Linked DNA regions of Canis lupus familiaris. The protein of the gene in region 3 purifies or fractionates together with the protein of the main gene of each other region. This does not show direct contact. Links are inferred from orthologs where the notes say so. Each region holds a gene or a part of one and is shown on either strand. Other genes may lie near its edges.

Region 1 (4,334 bases), on a different chromosome or scaffold from region 3:
CTGGTGGAATCTAATACTCTGAAGCCATAAACTAAGTTATTTTTAAGGAGCTAAACTTAATTTTTGAATTATTAAAAATTGGGATATAAAGAAGAAGGGGCTCTGTCTAAATTTTGGTTTAGGGTTGATCGTAAGCTTTATAGAGGTTTGATAAGAATTGTGATGTTGCTTAAGTTTGGGAAAGCTACTGAAGATCTCTTAATCCTTTACTTTTTTTTTCCCCCCTCAATAGATATTGGATAATTTTATTTAGGATCTTCTCTCCCTCAACTGAACTGATACCCTGATAAATTAAGATTTGAATTACCATTGAAATCTTAAGACTGCCTGATCTCCTTGCCAGATACTTTATGTACCTTGTCTTAAAATTTTACCTAATGATTCAGTGAGAGGTAGGTGTTAGCACTTTCATTTTGTAGCTAGCAAAACCAGTTTCAAAGAACTTAGGTTTAAGCAAGGGTTCTTAACTTGGCATGCAGGCTAATTGGTTTTCTTTGTAATGCTACATATTTTATGTGGTTAAAATCATCCTAAAAAAGCTTCAGCATAGCTGGGATTCAAACCCAGATTTCTCTGGTGCTGTAGTTATATATGCTCATTCCTCTTATACAGCATTGATGGGAAAACTCATCTAAAGCTAGTTTGGGTTTGAGGTTGATGTGATATGGAGCAGAAAGACTATCTAATTTAGGGGAGCTATCATAAGACCTGTATTCTGTGACTGAGGAGGCAGGAAGATGAGCAGTCTCTAAACTCTGTGAAGGACCATTTGATTGGGCGTAGTGATGGATGGAATGCACAGAACCAAGGAGAGCGTACACAGGGCCTTGTCACATAATAGGTACTTACACATTTATATGGGTTCTGTGATAACTGCAAGATTAAAAAGCCTGCCATACCAAGAAGATATGCATATTCTGAGAGAAAGTTACCTGAAAGTTAGGGACACAGATTTTACTGTTGGGGGAGAAGGATGGGTTTTAAATTTCATTGATTTTTTTAAAGATTGGTATTTATAAAGCCATAAAATTAGAGAAGATTTGGGTTTAGGGCTAGTGGTATACCAATTGGGAATGTCCTGCCTTCTAAATGTCTGAGAGTAACTGAAGGTAAGAGGCCAATTCAGAGAGAAATTTATTCATTCAACAAGTATTTCAGTACTGACTGGGGACTGGATACTAGTGAAATACAAAGGTAAATAAAAACATATAGTTTGACCTATTAGAACTTATGTCAATCAGTTAGCCACAAATAAATAATACAAAATGTGGGTACATGGTGAAGGAAAAGTATGGGGCTTTGAGTACATTTAACAAGGAGGAATTCTCTTTGGTGGGGAATGGAGGCTCTTTGGTTAGGAAAGGCTTCTTTGAGGAAAATATTTTTTGAGTTCTGCAGATGAATGGAAGTTAACTTATTTAAAGTTAAAGCTTGGAAAGGAAGTGTGATTGTCTATGAAATTATGAGAGGCTAACCCTAACCCTAACCCTCTTTAGTAAGAAAGGGGTTTTAAATAAAAATAGTGATTTTACACCAAATATTGAGGGAGTTTAGCTCTGGTGTCAGTTTATCAACTATTTGTTTCTATATTTAGCAAAGTAGACTTTGACTCCAAACTCCCAGTTTATTCAACTCAAAAGGATGTTGAGGATGTGCTGTCTTCTAGGCCTTGTAAGTCTGAATCCTATGCATACCAAAGGGATTCAAAACAAGGGATTATGGTGATGGGGTGGTCTTCTTAAGCCCACAGTGCCATTTAGAATTACAATGACACGCAGTAAGTAATTCTTTTAGGTTTCAAATTTCTTTCTTTTGATTCTCAAAGCTCTGATGTCTAACATATGTAAAAACTTTCTACTTGGGGGTTCTTTGGCTTTCTACAAGTTACTTTTGAGGCAGAGACTGGCTTCCAAAAGCCTTGACTGCCGCTTCTCAAAGTGATTTGGCAGCCAAAGCTTGATGGTTAGATTAACATGTCTGATTGGTTTATTGTGGACTGGGAAGGGAAGTAAGAGTGGGAAAGAGGGACAAAATATTCAGATAAAAGATTGAAGTAGAGGGGCGCCTAGGTGGCTCAGTAGGTTGAGTCTGCCTTTTGCTAGGGTCATGATTTCTGTGATCTCGGGGTCCTGGGATCGAGCCTCGCATAGGGCTCCCTGCTCAGTGGGGAGTCTGCTTCTCTCCCTGGCCTCCCCGCCACCTTATAGTGTCTCCCTCTCAAATAAATATCTCTTAAATAAAATCTTTAAAAAAAGATTCAAGTAGAATAATGGTATAATTCAACTTTGGTATTTTTCATGTTTATTTTTGTTAATTGAATCTGCTTTTTTTCACTTCTGTTTAGGTGTGTGTGGAGTTTGATGGGGAATCTTGGAGAAAGAGAAGATGGATAGAAGTCTATAGCCTTCTAAGGAGAGCATTTTTAGTAGAGCATAACTTGGTTTTGGCTGAACGAAAGTCTCCTGAAATTTCTGAACGAGTTGTTCAGTGGCCTGCAATAGTGAGTACAACTTGAGGTTATGAGACCAGGGGATTTAATCCATTATGAGTGAAACAAGGGAAATGTATATGTAATGCCTGTATTTGGCCTCTGGAGAATAGTACAGATAAGGAATCTCCTGTTAGCCCTGCTAGGAACCCTGTAACTCTGTGCCTTTGACTTTTCAGCCCTCAGTTTCTTCACTTGAAAAATGGGGTTGGAGGTAATGTGGGGGAATGTCTAGGTCAGAGGTGAGAAACAATATATATGTATATGTATATTTGGATTGATTTTCATAACATTTTAAGAAAGTTTGAGTTAGTCATCTACTTTTAAAATATGGAAAGTATACCTTAAAATCTGGCTGTTGCCTAGCTCCTGTAGGGGTTGCCAGTCTTGGCCTCATGATCTCTAAGGTTCTCTCTGACTCATGATATTCTTTGGCTCTGAAAGTACTGGCAGTCAGTGCATGATTATGCCATTTCCACATCATAAATCTGATGTAGTAGATAAGAGTGATCATAGTGTCTGGAGAAGACAATTCAGGTTTTGTGAGACATAGGGCTTAACAGTAGAAGGGCAAGATTTAGACAGAAAGGCTAGGAAGGTGGTTGAAAGGCTGACCAGATTGTGAAGGGCCTAGCATACTGTGCTAGCAAAGTTAAGATTTTGCCCGTGGGTGAGAAGAGCTGCTGCAGGTTTTTGAGTGGTATAGATTTTGGTTAAAGTTATATTTTTCTCTTTGTAGCCCTCTCTCCCCCAGCTATTAAGAATTTGCCAAAAACATGGCCCTATCTCCCCCAGAAAAAATGTATACACACAGTTTTTTGTATAAATTTTGGAGAAGTCATGTACCTCTGGACCCAGACTTATGTGTTAATGACTCCCAAATGTGTATCTGGTTTAAATGGTTTTGGATAAAAATTGTGTGATCGCGTTGTGGCTGCGTAAGTAGTTGTTATTGAGATGCCAGCAGTAAATAAAATTAGTGGTTTTATCTCTTTCTGCATATGTGGAAAATTGCTAGTCACCATTTTCAGAATTATTCTGACAGCAGTTGTGATGTCAGAACCCTTTTGTTTTGTTTTAGGTGTATAAGTCTCTGTTGGACAAAGCTGGTTTGGGATCCATAACCTCTATTCGCTTTCTGGGAGATCAACAAAGAGTATTTCTTTCTAAAGACCTTCTGAAGCCTATACAGGTAAAGCATAAAAAAATATTAACCTCTAAAGATAGAAATATAAATTTTTTAATATGAGAACTAAAAGTATTGACGTTTATTGCTCTAATTCTAATAAATACCTAACACAGAAATAGACCCATCTCATTAGCAGTTAGTTGTTAGACATTACCCTTCGGTGTTAGCCATTGGGGTTGGTATTGTCTATTTGGGATTGGAAGTTCAGAAGTAGTACAGTTGATGATCTGTATTTATATATGGAAACACCTAGATGATATGAAAATAATTTTTGAAAGATTGACTATCATTCACATGTATGGCAGTCATTATTTATGTATTGAATAATGTGGGAAGTTGCCTACTTGTTAGAATATATTTGTAACCCCCAAATCAGTTCTTAGGCACTTTCATGGTCATTCATAGACATTGGCAGAGTGGTAAAAAATTTGAGTTACCTGACATATGTTCCCAGCTGAAGTCAAATAAGGTGACATTCTGCTGGCTTGTTTCCTCTCTCATTCTGTAAACAAGTGTGGTTTATGAGGTCTATTTAGTGTTGAATTTTTGTGCCTTTTTTTTTTTTTTTTTTTTTTTTTTTTTGCGGTGGTGGTGGTGGTGGTGGTGGTGGTTTCACTGTACCAAGTATAGTGCTGAAGTGCTCTCTAGTGTTCCTAA
Region 2 (4,852 bases), about 37 Mb from region 3:
TTCATGAAAAGTCTGAACAAGCACTAGGGGGACCAACTCAATGACAAGGGAATTGCCAGTCTTTGTTTATTTCAGTCTTTCATTATATCCAGAAATCAAGGGATAGCCACCTTGTTTAAGAGCTACGCAGCAATCACCAAAGAAGTGAAAACTGTTGATTTAGTTCTAGCATCTTCGTTACACTTAAAATGGTCCTCCATGTTGTACAGACTTCTCCACTGACAGAAAAGGCTCAACATTTCTAAGGCTAGTCCTTCACCTCTAATGGAACACTGTCACTTTCCCTTCACACATCACTATCCACTCTGCAACACTGAACCCAGCCACACTCCTTCTTTTACCTGAACAAAGAATCTCTTGCCTGCTGCTTACCTGTTAGAAAACTACCCACACCCTGCACAAACCATCTAGAGACTCCCTTTCCTCTCCCTGATTTAATTATGTTTGTAGATGGTTCATCCTCAAAAACTGGAATTTGCCAAGGAAGCTATACTATCATAGATACTAATTTACTCTTAAAATATAAGCTTCTCCTAGAGATTTAAATCAGTTCAGATTTAATTATGTTTGTAGATGGTTCATCCTCAAAAACTGGAATTTGCCAAGGAAGCTATACTATCACAGATATTAATTTACTCTTAAAATATAAGCTTCTCCTAGAGATTTAAATCAGTTCAAATTACTTCCCCTTGCCCAGATCTGCCAGCTGACGAAAAGAAGGTGTAAAATATTAATATTGGTATTAGATATGATTTGAGGATTATTAGTCTGTGACTTTGTAAACACAAATTTCCTGACCACTGCAGCAAACCTCTATCAAATGAACAACAAATTAAAGAACCTTGAGATGCTTTGCTCTCACCTAAGTAGATAAGCATTTAAAAAATGGAGCTATGGAAAAATGCTTCATGGTATCAGCTACAATAGCAGAGATAAACTGGCTTTAATACTGAACCAACATTGGTGGGGTAATTTTTTTTATTGACAGAACATAATTCTATTTGTTTATTTATTTTATTGGAGTTCAATCTGCCAACATATAGCATAACACCCAGTGCTCATCCCGCCAAGTGTCCCCCTCAGTGCCCATCACCCAGTCACCCCAACCCCCCGCCCACTTCCCCTTCCACTACCCCTTGTTCATTTCCCAGAGTTAGGTGTCTCTCATGTTTTGTCATCCTCACTGATATTTTCACTCATTTGACAGAACATAATTTTAAAAATTCACATAAAATTAGCCATTTTCAAGTGAACAGTTTGGTGGCATTTAGTACATTCACAATGTTGTGCAACCGTGACTTCTATCTAGTTCCAACACATTTTCAACACCCAAAAAAGGAAATCCATACCGGTGGGGTAACTAAAGGGTACTGTCACAAGGAGGCTGTAAAGGCATGATGCATCAGGAACCAAAGCCCCCAACCCTGTTTGAACACATCCAAATAAACTATAAAAGATGATCCAGTTATTGTTTATTTTCAACAGGGTGGAATGAGGCTTTTCCTTGCCCGAGAGCTACAGCACAACAGTTAAAAAAGAAAAAAAAAGATTTCGTATTCTCTATTTGGGGAATTTCAATTTGTCTCTGAACTCTCCAGTAACAGGGAGAGTAACACATTGTGATTAGAGAACTCTAAAATAAGCAAAACTCACTCAGAACAGCCCTCAGGTGAGAGCATGCCTGCGGTGTCTGAGGAACAGGAGTCCAATATGGCTGGATGGAGAGAGTTGGGGGGGTGGGCAGTGGTAATCAGAGCAGGGGGACCAGACTTGCTAGTCGTTGTAAGAATTTTAGCATTTACACTGCACGATGGGACGCTGTTAAAACGTTTTGAGGAATGAATGGCTATAATATGTTTTTAAAAGAATTACCGCATACGGAAAGAGAAAAATACTACCTTTATAGTGGAGAAACAGGGCAGATACCATCTTCACCAAATGTTCAAGGTTAACGTCACCAATGACGTAATGTGGATACCGTATACCACCTGATATGATGCAAAGGGCACACGGTACGCCTCTAGGCATAGGATTTCACATATATCCTCCATGAAATGAAAGCTTAGACCACAAATACTATTTTTTTTTCCACAAATACTATTTAGGGATGCATACAAAAGCGGAAAAATGTTAACAAATTGAAAACTTCAGAATAATAGTGGCGCAGGGAGAGGGATTTCCATCAGGGAGGAGATTTCTTAAGCTAACGGTCTGAAATCTTAACCTGAATGGTGAATTCACAAATTTTTATTATTCTTTTATTTACTTTGAAATAGACTCAGAAAAAAATTGCAAAGATAATATAAAGAATTCCCGTATACCCTTCATCCACATTTCCCAAATTTAACATTTTAGCCATTTGCCTCATCGTTTCTTTAAATACATCTTTACATACGCTATTTTTTCCCGACCATTTGCGAGTAAGCGGCTTACACAATGGTTCTTTATCCGAAAAATTTCAGCATGTATTCCCTTAAAAAAATTCTCTTTCATAACCACAATTATCCAAAGCAAGAAATTATCACTACTAATATCTAATCTACAAGCCTCAGTCAAATTTCATCAATTTTCCCATTAACATCTTTTACAATAAAAAAAGAGAAATCAATCTTATGAGAAAAATCCTGATTTTTAAATAATTTATTTTTCTGCTCCGGGATCCAATGCAGGATCACACATTGCATTTAGTTATGATTCTTTAAATCCCATTAATTCCTTCAATCTGGAACAGTTCTTCATCCTTTGTCTTTCACGACCTTGAAATTTTTGAAAAGCACAGGCCGTTTATTTTTACAGAATGTCCATCAATCTGGGCTACGTAAACGTTTTATGCAATCTTTTTAGGTCTTACGTATATCACAATTTAAAAAATGAGATGCAACTTGGCGAGAAATAAAATAAACCCAGAAACAGTGTATTTCAAGTACTGGTTAGCCAAGAAATCAGTAAAACAAGCCAATTTATCAAGACACGCACTGACATTTTTTAAAATAACTATTTCTCCTGATTACAAAAACGAAGCAGTACTAAAACACAAAACAAATGTAATAGCGAAGGCCCCTCCCGTGCCAATCACCTGCACTTTCTCCCGTCCTGGGAAGAAGGCCTCGGCCAGAGGCAAAAACCTCGCCGCGTCACAAACTTTGCTCATTCGCAGGCGCCATTTTCTGCTTCACAGGCACTACCTCCCCTCTGCAGTCTTTCCTTGGCCTCAGGACACGCCCCTCAGCGTCCGTCACAAGCCTCGTTCCCAGGCGCCAGCTCCCTCCACCACGCAGGCTCCGACTCCTTCCCTCCGCCCACAGCCCCACGGCTCGGATTCCGCTCTTCTGCCTGACGTCATCCCCGCCTAGCTCTCAGGCGCGGAGAAACCGCAGGCCGCCCCGCCGCCAGATGCTACTCAACGCCACGCAGACCACGCCCCTCGGCCTCGGGCACCGCCCCTTCCCAGGTTGCGAGTTCCATCACGCACTCCCGGCCCCACCCCCTCGCCTCTCCAAAACAAACCTCCAGTTCTCAGGCCTGGGGCACCACCATACAGGCCCCGCCTTTTTCCCCAGACAAGGTGATCCACTCACAGGCACTTCCCCGCCCCTCCCGTCCTCAGTCTCACAGGCCACTCCCCCACCCCCACAGCAATTCTTCGGACCTCAGCCTCCACGTTCCCCCAGCCGAGGATCCGTTCGCAGCCCTGTCTCACCAGCTTTCGCCCGCACGCAGTGGACGCTCTCGCCCACTCTCGCTGTTCTCGATTTGGCGCCACTGGCTCTCCAGGCCCGGCACCGCTTCGCGCTGCGGCTCTCGGTCTTCAGCCGCAGCCGCCACATTCGCTGCGACCGCCGCCATCACCGTTCGCCCTCCTCTCACAGCCACCGCAGCTGGAGATAGGAAGAGGCCCCTCAACGGCCACTTCCGGATTCTGGTCCCGGAAACGGAAACAGAGCCCCCCAAACAGCCAGGGGGCTACTGCCATCTTGGAAAGGGACCCCACGCTCGCACGCGTGGACCGGCTAGGCGGGCGTGGGACTGTGGGCGGTGATCCCTGCGGCCAATGGGCGGGGCAAAACCTCCAGTTAGGGACTAAGGAAGACAAAGGTGCCTTGTAGGATTTTAAAGCCATGTTGAGTCAGGGCAAAAGGTGGTGTGGAAAGGTGGAGGCTGAGGTCCCGTTATGGACGAGGACATTTTGGGGAGTGCTCAGGGACACGAAGGTTCCGCGCTTTCTCGGTCCCATGCTTTGCTGGGAACCACGGCCCCTACCCTGAGAGTTTTTGTTAGCCTGACCAGAATGCCCTATTCACTGCGCTGCTCTTGTCCATCAGAACCTAATACAAAAAAGGTCACCACCCAAGCCTACGGGCTGCTTCCCTGCCTGAACTAGATTTATTTTCCTGACAAACGTGTTGAAGGCAAGTCAGCTTCAGGCCCAGTGTATTTGTTGGCATTATAGCAATGATAACTAATAATAGTTGGCCCTGTTTAAATGCTTTATTGCACGTAAAAGGTAGCCTTAGGCAACAGATGAACATCACCGTCCCCTACGGACATCAAAGGGGCAAAGTGAGGACCAGAAACATTCATTTTGCCCCAGCTAGTAAAAAACACCGAGCTGTGGTTCGAACTCAGAGCTGTGACCTTAAGCACAAGGCCAAACTGTGGTTTTAGGCTTCCTACTGGTTCAGGAGACCTTCTCAGGAGGATTCACAAAGTCAAAACTATTTTCACAATACTTTTTCATTGTCAAGCTGTCTTGCGTGTGTGATGGAATATTCTGAGAGGCTACATAAGCAAAAGCTCTTTAGATGTCCTCAATTTTTAAGACTATTAAAGAGATCATGACCAAAAAGTTTAG
Region 3 (3,938 bases):
GCAAATATTAGGCACCTAAAACCATAGCCATTTTTTGAAATTGGTTGGGAGGTTCCAATCCTGAATATACATCATTATAGCTGGCCACAGATCTGTCTTGTAGCCCAGGTCTCAGTGAATTCATGTTTGAATCCAGTGGGGGAAAGATGAGGCCTTCAGGAAAAAGGGGACTATTTTGCCAAGAATTCTTTAAGACATTGAGGTTTAAGCAGCACTGGGATGATATGCACCTGGGTAAGTATAATATTAAAACTGACGGAGAGGCATTCTCCACTTATCTGTAGGAGACACAGTTCAGCTTTGGTCCAGAAGGGACTCCAGAGCAATCAGTGAAGCTTTGCAACTGGAGGACCCAGGCACCTTGGCTGTGGGGAGTGGGCATGGTAAGAACAGGACCCAGAAGAAGGGGCTGCTGTGCCCAGCAGATGTGCCAGTATCCAAGAGAAGAGAATAGCAGGATAGAAATAGAATGTGGCAGTCACCTGGAATCTCACAGCAATTATTTGTGAGTTTAAGTGAAACCTCCTTTGGGTTCTAACCCCTGTATTTGAAAGGTATCTATAGGGGTTGTGAGTCCTATGTGTACAAGTGGGGGAAACAAGGCAGCTCTAGGATCTTCACTTTATTAGGCTCCACAGCAGCTTTTTTTTTTTTTAAGATTTATTCATTTATTTATGATAGACATAGAGAGAGAGAGAGGCAGAGACACAGGAGAAGGGAAAAGCAGGCTCCACTCCGGGAGCCCGACATGGGACTCGATCCCGGGACTCCAGGATCACGCCCTGGGCCAAAGGCAGGCGCCAAACCGCTGAGCCACCCAGGGATCCCCTCCACAGCAGCTTTTAAGTCAAACATTATTCCTCTTTAAATGGGAAAATAGTGACTATTAAATAGAAGTACCAAGTTTGTTTCTCTGCGTGATATTTAAAAGAATCATGGAATTAGGGCATCTGGGTGGCTCAGTCCATTAAGCATGTAGCTCTTGATCTTAGCTTAGATCTTGATTTCAGGGTCTTGAGTTCAAGCTCCCATTGGGTTCCATCCTGGGCATGGAGCCTACTTAAAAACAAACATGAGATTTACTTTTCTTTAAAGTTCTGACAAGTATTTATTAAGTGCCACATTGTCTTTATAAGCTGATTGACAGGTTTTTATGTTTTTCCCATTATATTTTTTGCAATGAAAGTAACATGTTTGTCTTTAAAAATTAGTTCTGATGAAGCAAAAATGAAAAAACAAACCAAAACACCTATTACCGCACAGATAGCCACTGTTAAGCCATTTAAGTATATACTTTTTTCTTTGCATATTAATATATAAATATACATTTTTTACAAAAATGAGATGCAACATATACTTTTTGAAAATTGTTTTTTTCACTTCACAATATATAATGTACATCTTTTCATGCAAATGGGTGAGACTCATGATTGAAAAAGGGAGACTTGCAGCTTGTGGGTGGGGAAAACCCAATTTTATGCCAGTTACAAGTGAAATACCTAAACTAAAGCCACACGAAAAGTTAAAAATGAGATGGGGAAAGGTATACGAGAAAATGCAACGTTCAGGTGGCAATACTTGTATCAGGCAAAACAGAATTAAAGCCGAATACATTAAATAGGATAAGGACGGTTCCGTCTTGCCTTCCAATGCATGACCATCAGTTTGTTCCGTACTCTTTTCATTTCTTCCATCTCCTCTGCTACCTTTATCATCTCCTCATTGCTTAAATTTCTGCCATGTATGTCCCCTCTAAATTGCGGGCGAGAGCGAGCCAGCCTCTCTTTAAAGCTTCCTTCTTCTAGCTTATGTTTTCCCACTCCACAAGGAGGCTGCTCCATGGGAGGGCGCTCCTCAAAAAGGTCCCTTCTAGAAAGGCGCTCCTGAGGAGGGCGCTCTTCGGACACGAGCATCTCGGGAAGGAGCTCGGGAAGGAGCTCCTCGGGAAAGAACTCCTCCTCCGACGACTGCTCCTCGGAAGACGGTTCCTCCGGAGACTGCTTTTCAGGAGAGTGCTCCACAGGAGGCCGCTCCTCATCAGTCTTGGGTGCGCTCTGTGGCTGTTCTTCATTTTCTTTGCAGGATTTTTCCATGTTGAGGGGGTCTTTATCTACAGTTATTCATAGAAGACAAGGAAGGCAGAGTCGAGTCAACACACTTGGCGGCTGCATCAAAACCCCAGCCCCGGGTTCTCATACCTGCCTTTTCCCGAGTCGAGGCCCAGGTTCCCCCACCCTACGCTGGTCGAGGGGCTCTCCGGCCCTGGAGACCCCGCTGCGTCCCACCCTGCCCTCAGCCTCCCTAGCCCCCAGCCTCCCTCGCCCCCTCCTTTCCGAAAGCCCACCATTTTCCCAGCAGGCCTTGCCACAGGCCTCTCCCGCAGTGGCAGGGGCGGGGCGCGCCGGCGGTGCTGCCGACTCGGTTCCCATCAGCGTCCTCCCACGTATCCCATCCCAGGTCACTGCCCAGCCCTTCCCCGACCTGGACCTCTCCTGGCGGTTTTTTCTAGGCGCCCTCTTCTCCAGGCGCGCCCCTGTGACCTGCAGACCTGCAGACCTGCAGACAGACGCCAAGACAGGGTAGGGGGCGGGGAGTGGGGAGGAGGGAAGGACTGACTGACATACCGTCCCTTTCTGGACACTAGCCGCCGCTCCCACGCCAGCCCCCTCTGTTTCCCCTCCCCCATACTCCACCTTAAGCTTCGTCCTCCGTGCCCCACCACCCCGCAGTGCTCGTCATTTCTTTTCCAAGCGGCAAGTGGAAGCCAAAGATTACTTAGAAACTGTTTCTAGGTATCTATGTCTCCCAGGCCCCCCCCCCTCATCTCTCCACCTCACCCCAAGACCACCATTTTCTGCACCGAAATGTGGGCGCGGCGGGGCGGGGCTGGATATAGGGAAAGGCCTGGTACTCTCTGCCATCCCGATCCCAGAGGTTACTGGGCAGCACCGACACATACCGATTTCAGAAGACCGAGGGGACTTACTTCCTTCTGCTTTTCCCCTCGACCAAAGGGCAGTAGGCAGACGGTGTCTGGACAGGCAAAAAGGACCAGGAGAGAGGGACTTGGGCAGACATAGGCTCCTGGTCACGTGAGGGCCCCGCGTCACCGCCGAGCTCAGATCCCCAGTTACCACTTTGACCGCCGGCGGCCGTGCTGCAGCCTTGCCAGTATTTTCCTAGCTCATAACACATCAGGCATCGTCACTCACCTCTTTGTTTATATTTGCTTTTTCCTGGTTACCAGAGACAGCATCCAGTCTTGGGAGTTACTGCCTTTTCTTCTCTGCCGCTTACTCTGATATCACCTCTCTCCCTTATTCCATATTCTCCCGTTGTCAGTCACCAAGGTCCAATATTTCCCCTGTAGTCCAGATCCTGCACTGAAATTTGACTATTTTCCCCTAATGAATTCCACCTTTCCCAGCTTTAATCCACATCCCTAACTCCATCGTGTCCATGTAGGCTCTATGAACATGATTTACATCTCTTGTCACTTTTATGGATGATATGCTTTCACTTTTCCATGACTTTAAGGATTTTTTTAAAAGATTTTATTTATTTCACTCAGCATAATACCCTCCAGTTTATTAATGAGATAGGCAGAGACACAGGTAGAGGGAGAAGTAGGCTCCATGCAAGGACTCTGACGTGGGACTCCAGGATCAGGCCCTGGGCTGGAGGCGGAGCTAAACTGCTGAGCCGCCGGGGCTGCCCAACTTTAAGGATTTTTTTGAGCCCCCCCAAACTTGCATCACAGATAGAGGCTCCAGTCTAAATTAGTATTCAGTTCTAGAACTTTGCTTGTGAAGTATGTAAATTAAAAACATGATTTTCGTAAGTCAAATTATACATTTGTCCATCTAAGTACAAATAATTTAAAAACTTATCTGTAATGGAAGCATTTTTTTGTGGAGAGTGTGGCGTTATTATATATG

Evidence for each region.
Region 1: the proteins of TCEAL1 (region 3) and KDM3A purify together in Homo sapiens (affinity purification with mass spectrometry; 3 studies listed by BioGRID and IntAct, counting the BioPlex papers as one, with this or other methods). This does not show direct contact. The link is inferred for Canis lupus familiaris from reciprocal best matches to the Homo sapiens genes TCEAL1 and KDM3A.
Region 2: the proteins of TCEAL1 (region 3) and USP11 purify together in Homo sapiens (affinity purification with mass spectrometry; 4 studies listed by BioGRID, counting the BioPlex papers as one, with this or other methods). This does not show direct contact. The link is inferred for Canis lupus familiaris from reciprocal best matches to the Homo sapiens genes TCEAL1 and USP11.

What each region holds. Positions count from the first base shown.
Region 1 is NC_049238.1:39,017,648-39,021,981, reverse strand, and holds part of KDM3A (lysine-specific demethylase 3A), read left to right. Parts: intron 1-2,344; coding exon 2,345-2,500; intron 2,501-3,569; coding exon 3,570-3,680; intron 3,681-4,334. UniProt on the Homo sapiens protein: Histone demethylase that specifically demethylates 'Lys-9' of histone H3, thereby playing a central role in histone code.
Region 2 is NC_049260.1:41,027,860-41,032,711, reverse strand, and holds the start of USP11 (ubiquitin carboxyl-terminal hydrolase 11), read right to left. Parts: upstream 3,394-4,852; 5' UTR 3,077-3,393; intron 1-3,076.
Region 3 is NC_049260.1:77,603,449-77,607,386, reverse strand, and holds TCEAL1 (transcription elongation factor A protein-like 1), read right to left. Parts: upstream 2,482-3,938; 5' UTR 2,430-2,481; coding exon 2,345-2,429; intron 2,111-2,344; coding exon 1,614-2,110; 3' UTR 1,084-1,613; downstream 1-1,083.